Nothobranchius furzeri: one gene and its partner. The protein of the gene in region 1 purifies or fractionates together with the protein of each later gene. This does not show direct contact. Links are inferred from orthologs where the notes say so. Each region holds a gene or a part of one and is shown in the gene's direction. Other genes may lie near its edges.

What was found.
Region 2: the proteins of dlgap5 (region 1) and kpnb1 purify together in Homo sapiens (affinity purification with mass spectrometry; 4 studies listed by BioGRID and IntAct, with this or other methods). This does not show direct contact. The link is inferred for Nothobranchius furzeri from reciprocal best matches to the Homo sapiens genes DLGAP5 and KPNB1.

The regions. Positions count from the first base shown.
Region 1 is NC_091756.1:29,320,263-29,324,813, reverse strand, and holds the start of dlgap5 (disks large-associated protein 5), read left to right. Parts: upstream 1-1,503; 5' UTR 1,504-1,651; intron 1,652-2,537; 5' UTR 2,538-2,549; coding exon 2,550-2,784; intron 2,785-2,901; coding exon 2,902-3,089; intron 3,090-3,211; coding exon 3,212-3,286; intron 3,287-3,393; coding exon 3,394-3,433; intron 3,434-3,534; coding exon 3,535-3,606; intron 3,607-3,685; coding exon 3,686-3,781; intron 3,782-3,907; coding exon 3,908-3,982; intron 3,983-4,067; coding exon 4,068-4,102; intron 4,103-4,551. UniProt on the Homo sapiens protein: Potential cell cycle regulator that may play a role in carcinogenesis of cancer cells. Mitotic phosphoprotein regulated by the ubiquitin-proteasome pathway.
Region 2 is NC_091745.1:29,728,657-29,732,475, reverse strand, and holds part of kpnb1 (importin subunit beta-1), read left to right. Parts: intron 1-1,479; coding exon 1,480-1,632; intron 1,633-1,723; coding exon 1,724-1,783; intron 1,784-1,875; coding exon 1,876-1,965; intron 1,966-2,349; coding exon 2,350-2,460; intron 2,461-2,540; coding exon 2,541-2,642; intron 2,643-2,731; coding exon 2,732-2,956; intron 2,957-3,819.

The DNA.
Region 1 (4,551 bases):
GTTACTGTGGCAACAGCTGTTGCCCCAAAGTGCTGCATATAGGCAAAGTAATTAGCATTAGAAATAGAGGAGCAGACCTAATCTATTACAAGAGACTAAAACTACAGGCAGATGTGTCTAAAATGCATAACAAATTACAAAAGAATAAAAATGGACACACTTAAAATGCGTCCTTCAACACAGCATAACGAGAGATTTCATCTGATCATTACAAACTTCTGCTACGGCCCATTCTAGCTGAGACACGGTGGATGGTTTTCCAGCATGGACGGCCTATTTAAGGTCAAAAGTCAGATAATCTTCAGGATTTTCTGCTAGAGAGGAGAATTCATGGTTCCATCGCAGCAAGTGGTCCTGAAGCAGCAAAGCAGCCCCGGACCATCACACTACCACCTCTGTGTCTGTTATAATTTTCTGAAATGCAGTGTTATTTTTACACCAGCTGTGATGGGGCACACACACACACCTTCCATAAAAGTCCACTTTTGTCTGTTCAATCCTGACATTCATCAAGATGTTTTTTGACAGATCGTTGTGTTCTTTGAGGTCAGCAGAGCTTTTGGTGGTTGAACTCTCCCATCATGCCACTTTTGCCGCATCTTTTTCTTGCTTTTGATTCATGACCTTTGACCTTAAGCTTTGCCAGCTGATGTGAGTTCTTTTCATCTTGAACTGTGTGTTGTAATTGTATACGTGTGTTGTTAAGGCAATTATTAAGCTGCTCTTCAGTCCTGGTGCTCTAAAAACACTTGTCATCGCGCCCGGTTATTTTCTCCTACTCAGGATTATACAGTTGTACTTTTGTAAAATAGTAGTCAGTTAGTGTGAGATTACTCTGGTGAAATAAACAAATGGCTTCATAATTAGTTTAGAGGCAACCTTGTTATGCACTAGATGACAGTGCATTTTGGGTTTTATTCATTTAAACCAGGCAGTTGGTATGCTGCTAAAAAATTTATGTTCAAAATAGGTACACAGATACATTATGTCCAGATGAAACTATAAAGTAACAGGTATGATTTCACTGTGCAGTGAACTGACATCTTTCTGCAGAAAAAGCTTCTCATGTTATTTATTTCCTTTTTTTTTCAAGCTTATGAAGCATAAAGCTACACAACTTAATTTAAAAAAACAAATTTATAACCCTCTTGTAGATGATTTCATAATATAGAAGAATGCTTTGCTCTTTAACTAACTCTCCTCTTGACAAACTCCCATTTAAATACATATATTCTGTGTCTTTCATGTTATCTTACTATATCCCCTTATTATTTTATTTGCTGTTCACGCTTCATTTTTTTCTTATTCGTAATTGACAAGTGATTCCAAAACCCAGGATTGCAAAAACATGGACGTTGGAGCTATTCTTATAACATGTTATTTTGCTCACGTTTTCAGTAAGGTTAATGAAGCAAACACGACGTGTGACGTAAACACGCGCTACAGGAAGCCTCCTCGCTGGAAACAAACCAATCACAGAGCGCCATGGATCTTGAGGACAGCCAATCAGCGTAACCTGTACGATATTTGAAATACGAACTGCCATTAGTTGTGCTAAAGTCAGACCGTTTGTAACTACGTCTGCGTTTGCTTTGTAGTAACTTTCCTAAAATACTGTTTCCGAGCGTTATTGTTGAAAAAAAAAACGAAGGTGAGACGTGTATTCTTTATTTACTCTTTGCCGGGAGAATTATCGCGTTATGTGCTGTTCAGTTAGCGTTGAAGTTAGCTAGGTAGCTAAGTATTTGGGTTTTTATTTGTTCACGTTGGTTTCTCTAAGAAATTACATTGCGATTTACTTAGTCTGTTTTTCGGTTTGTTGTTGAAGGTTTACAAATCTAAACCCTACAGCACACTTCGCTCTAATAAGATTAAGCGCTACGTATGTTTACAGAGACATTCTCATTTTGTGTATCATTACAATGGCTGCGTTTCTCTTTGGGGTTCACTTGTTTAGTGGTATTGCAACGTGTGTGGGCCTATCTGTTAAATGGAACAATACTACAACATCTCTGACTATGATTCTTCTCTCAATACTTTGACTGCTACATCACTTGAATTAAAGTAAATTAAACATTTATAACTCCTTTTCTAAAATAAAACTACTGGAAATTAGTGCAATAAAGAGTCATATATTTGTTTATGTGCGCTCTGCATTTACCAAAACAGGTTTAGTTCGAGTATGTTTAGCTAATTCTTTATAAAGTTTTCTTAATTTATTTGAAACTTGTTGATGTCTTTTAAAATGATGAATCACCAGCATTTGTATGGTGCCTTTCAGAGTCAGAGGACTCCAAAAGCGCTTTACATTACATCATACACACATGAGAGAGAACACTACTTGATCCATTCATAAGTTTGTGTGATGAATACACTTTCTCTTAAAAAGTTGTTTTTCTGTAATTCGATTATGAGATGTATATTTATATCTTGCTACTTTTGAGATTGACTACTTGTTTTATGTAACACTTTATGAGTGGGAGACATGACCATGTCTTGTGTATTATTTTGAGATTTATGTTTTGTGAATTATTCAGGTGCCCAAAAACATGGAGTCTCGTTTTGCTCATCTTCGGCAGAGGGACACAAGTGTGTCGATGTTGAGGGTAAAAGTGTCCCGCAGGAGGTCCCAGTCCCAAAAGGCGAACCGAGAGCGGACCGTGAACACACGCAGACAGCTGGGTCCGCTCGCTGAGCTGGAAAATTCTTCCCATAATGTGTCCGCTGCAACAGTCAACTTGTCAACTACTCGGGAGAAGCAGAACAATGCCAAATTTGCTCCAAGTATGATCCAACTTGAGCTTCTCGGCACAGTTGCACTGATTTCCTTTTCTACACTGTGTTTCAGTAAATGAGCTTTTCCACTGTTTCGTGCCTCACCGAACACTCGTTTTCCAACAGCTGTTGCACAAGAGGAGCGACTGAAACGACTTGAGCGCTGGAAAGAACAGAAGGCTCTTGAGAAGGAGAAGGAAAATAGAGCGAGGGAGCGTAAGGGAGTATTTAAGACTGGTGTCTTCCATCCGAAGGACACCTTCATGTTCAACTCCCTGCCTGCTGTTCCACCTGCCGTGTCCAGACCTAAGGAGGTGAGGGTTCTAAACACTAGAAGCACATTTGTCTTGTTGTTTTTTTTTTTGTGATGAGACGAGTAACAAAACGGTTAAATATTTCTACTCGGTGATTATTAAAATATTTGCGTGTCTTTCAGAAGATGAATGCAGCTCTATACCAGAACACAAGAGTCCTGCGTTCTATGAAACAGCAGCAGCAAGAACCACAAAAGGTGTTTATGAAAACATTCTGATTAGTATTCCTGTGTTTTACATAATAATCATAATAATATTTAGTAATGCATCTTCATTTGCTGTATTTTTGCCCACTTTTGCACAGCCCCTAGCAATGCAGAACCCAAATACTAAAGTAAACGGAGGTAAAGTAGCTTTAATTCTATTTTTATAAAACTTGCATGCAATTGATACGCCTCAGGTGTTTTTATTAAATTTCCACTTTTCTATTTAAAATCTGCTACAGGAAAACAAACCAGGACACGTGCAGCCCCCGTCAAACCTGCACCAGCTGCTGCCAAGTCTAAAGTTAGTGCAGGTAAGGAACAGATGATGAATCCTGGGACACGGCCAGACCATGTACTGTGTTAGCATCTCAAGCTGTGTCTTTGTGTCAGGCTATGCTGTCGTAGCGGGACCTGCACGAGCTTCATCAACCAGATCAGCCAGCAAGACTCTGGTTACAAAAGACGGTCCTAAACCTAAGGCTGCAGGTACACGCGGCTTAGTGTCTGGCGTTTTGACAGATTCAACTTGACTATCATAGAAACACTGAACTGTAGGATGAAGATGTCTTCTGGGAAAACGTAAATGTGTTGAATGTTTCTCTCTGCCTGCAGGTATGAGAACTACCAGGTCCACAGCGGTTGTTAAACCTCTGCCCCCCTCAGCTGGTGAAGTGGAGAACTGTAAAGGTGTCCTTATGTTTTACCACAATCCTTCTAGCTCTTGATGCTGTTTAAAGAAACATTCCTTAAACCACTTTGTGGATCTCCACAGCTGTGAGCATCGCCACAAACGCTGCAGCCTCCAAGGTGAGCACATCTGTAAATGTTCCAGTCAGCGTACCCGAGCCTTTAAGGGTCTGTGCTTAAGTCAGGGTATCTGCAGGTTTAAGGGAACCAAATTTAAGACTTTTTAAGACCTTTTTTATGGCCACTTAAACCAAATTTAAGCTTTATTTTCCAGCTATTGCCTGGAACCGGTGCTAACCACGTCGCAAACGTGGGATTAGCCATCCAGCTACCATTAAACTTGCACTTCCCCATGGTGCAAGCTCCCACTAGCTCAACCAGCTAATGTGCTCAACTAAAAATGGCCCCCTTTCACAACCAACTGAATGTGTACGGTTCTGCTTACGCCAACATCATACACAAAAAATGCTGAATACTAACTAGAAATTCATGAAAATTTTATAGACATAAAAGAATCCTGTTTATTGGGTCTTTGGTAATTTAAGACATTTGGAAACTGTATTTAAGGA
Region 2 (3,819 bases), on another chromosome or scaffold:
CGGATTGGTCACATCTTATTGACGAACACTGATTAGCTTATTAAAAATAGAGTTCTTTGATATATTAAAGAGAGTCCAAGAAGCTCTTGGGCTGGAAAGGAAGCAGTTTATAGCAAATGCATGAGACCTTGAGGCCATATATCATGCAGACTAGTTCTGTGTCAGAGGAGAGGGGGAATGACTTGGTGGAAAACAGTCATTTCATTCCGTTACATCTGTAATTCCTGCTCTATAATTTATCCAAATAATATTCTTACTGATGAAATTTAAAAAGATAATGAAGAGGTACAAATTATGTTTAAGTAATAATTAATATTCATAATAACTGCACTAGTAGGAATTTAGCATCTTAATTCATGATGATGTCCTGACCAGTTGTCAACAGTTAAACCTTTTTGTGTTTTTACAGAAACTCAAAAAAGGCTATTAGGCAAATATTACTAAATGTGTGAAACACTGAAAAAACCTTTTTAATGATTATTTCTGATCATAATCAGTCACTGAGTTTTTCATGCAGGCTGAACATGAAAATAGTCTCCTACACCTATCTTCTGCATTATCTATTGATAGAAAATAGACAGTGAAACTGTTAAAATCAGATCTACATCACACTGTCGCCTAACATTCATGGACTCGCCCATCTTGACTCATGACGTGGAAGGCTGTTTTAGCATCCAGGAAACTGGAGAGAATGTCTCAACTAGTAGAAGCTAACTGTTAGCATTACCAACTCCACTACACAGCAGAACTCCTCCAGGCTTGTGTTATTTGTGGAGATGGAACAACATTGCAAATCAATTGCAGGGTAAACTTTTCTAAACAAAATCTCTGAAAAGGAACAAAATATTTTTCAAGTGTTCAGAACATTTATAGAATGTAATCATGCCTTTATCAATAATGTATAAGATGTGTGTGTGATTTATGTAAATACAGACGTGAAATCAGTTCGTGTAAAATAATCGTGTAATCATGAAACTGATTATTTCTTTGACTACAATCATGCCACCAAAATTTATAATTGTTGACTCCCAAATGCCAATACGGCAACCCGATGACATCCTAATAAGCAAATTGGATGAGTGCATTTGCTCTCTGTACAAACTTTGGGTCCTACTGAAGATTTCTCATTGACAGTTTACCTTTATCTCTTACCATTTTCAAGCTACAACCCCCTGAAAAGGTCCTGTCAAAATTTAATATTTTCTTGAAAAAACTGGCACCCAAAAGGTTATTTTGAATTTTTTGCTTATCATTTGTCTTTTCTTGCACCAAGTACTGCAGCAATTTCCTAATGTTGTGATTCTCGCACAAATGACAATAAAACCCTTCTGGTTCTGATTCTAACCGCTTACAGTCAGACGCACCGGAGCTGTAACATGCAGACTCCAGACCAGATTCCAGTTCTGGTTTGTGACTGTTGCAGCCTATGCCTGACGCTGTTGTCTGTGGAGTACTCCTGACATATTTTGTTCCTTTTAGGACCCTGAGCAGCTGCAGGAAAATGCCAACCAGATCCTGACGGCCATCATCCAGGGCATGAGGAAGGAGGAACCCAGTAACAATGTGAAGCTAGCTGCTACCAATGCCCTGCTCAACTCACTGGAGTTCACCAAAGCCAACTTTGACAAGGAGGTGAGGGTCTGATGTAATAGTTGGAGTTCCCTAGTCAGGGATGTAGTTCTGATCTGCATTTGTGAATAAATGATGATGTTTGTGTTTTCAGACGGAGAGGCACTTCATCATGCAGGTGGTTTGTGAAGCCACCCAGTGTCCTGACACCAGAGTGAGTACCATGAGAACTGAATCTCTTGCTGTGAGCTGGATCGTGTTTATAGGTCTTATCCTGATCCGTCCTGTCGTCTATGATGCATGCAGGTCCGCGTGGCAGCTCTGCAGAACCTGGTGAAGATTATGTCTCTGTATTATCAGTACATGGAGACATACATGGGGCCTGCTCTGTTTGCGGTAATAAACTCACTCAATATTTGGTTCTATAGAACAAAACTTGTGGTTTTGCTTTGATTAGTTGGGACAGAAGAACACTTGAGTGTAGTTTAAGGCAAAAGTTATGAATCTGAGGTCGTTTCTTTGGGCCAAAGAGTTTAAAGTCCTGTCCTGATTTTCATCAGTCTTGGTGAGCAACAGCGTTCCACTTGGGTGATGTTCTGGTTCATCGTTTATTTATTCAGAAGACAATAGGTGTAAACAGGGATAATTCCTCGCCAGGAACAGGGCAGGGTCATAAGCCTGGACATTTCCAGTTTAATGATCTGCTGCTGCACAAAGTTCAGTAGAGCTGAATCTCTAATTTCGGTTGTTTTCCAACATGTTTTTTAAATTTTGTTTCAGATCACTATTGAGGCGATGAAGAGCGACATTGATGAGGTGGCTCTGCAGGGTATTGAGTTCTGGTCCAACGTCTGTGACGAGGAGATGGACCTGGCCATTGAGGCCTCAGAGGTCTGTTTCCAGTTTGAGGACTCGTTTCAGATGTGTAGCGCTGCGTTCACTGACTGCTCGTTTCTCCTCTTGCCCATCAGGCCTCGGAGCAGGGGCGCCCCCCCGAGCACACTAGTAAATTCTATGCTAAAGGGGCACTTCAGTACCTGGTCCCCATCCTGACTCAGACCTTGACCAAGCAGGTGCTGACCTTTCACTTCTCTGTGTGCTCCTGCTAGTTTTGTGACTTCACTGTGGTTTATGAGAAATTAAATTTTTTCAAACTCTGCAGGATGAGAACGATGACGACGATGACTGGAACCCCTGCAAGGCTGCAGGTGTGTGTCTGATGCTGCTGGCCACCTGCTGCGAGGACGACGTGGTTCCTCACGTTCTGCCCTTCATCAAAGAGAACATCAAACACCCCGACTGGCGCTACCGTGACGCCTCCGTCATGGCCTTTGGCTCAATCCTGGAGGGACCCGACCTGAACCAGCTCAAGCCCCTCGTCATTCAGGTGCAGACCTAAAGCTCTAGACCAGGGGTTGGCAACCTGTTCCCATCAAAGAACCATTATTACCCGTTTCCCACAGTAAAGAAAACACTGGGAGCCACAGCAGCCGCGGCGTTGTGGGCGGGGCCTACCCTCAGACAGCAGAGAGCTGCTCACAACAGGTGACGGCAGCCGGTACCGGTCGCTAGTGTACGTCAAAGTTATCTTTCATAAGATAATCAATAAAACAATTTATATAAAGTGGATCCAGAAGTTGTAGCCCGTCTCTGCCTACAATATTTAGATATTTTTCACCCTGTTGGTGGTTTTACTGAGCAGGTGCCACTTTTGTCGTACGTTTCTTTTTAAAACATGTTTAGACTGTTCAGAATACAAATCCAGGCTCTGTCACGTTTGATTGTTGTAATTAAGCTTTGTAGGTGGGGAAGGTCAGAAAAGGATCCGATCATTTTGTTTTTCCCTCATTTACAGTGGCAGAGATAACGGCGCAGTGTGCCTGGTGTTGATCAAGTTTAATTTGTAACAATTTTCACAAGAAAACCGTTAAAATCAGGGCTTGTGTTGGCCAGACAGTTCCCGTATTTGACCGTTTATTTTGACGGAGAAAGAATAGAAAGAATTACCCCGACGCATGCAGACGAACTGACATTTTATTCTACGCACATCGCAGATGTAGCTAAATCACTCAAGAAACGATTCCCATCTGAACATCTGAGCTGGACACCGCTCAGCGCAGCTCACTGTCAGCATGTACTACATAAGGTCCACAGCGAGCTGAAGATGTGGAGAGGGGCTTGGAGCACGTCGCAGAACCAGAGCGCATGCGGGAAGGTTCCTCCCACTGAAGCGAGACTTGTCACTTAGAA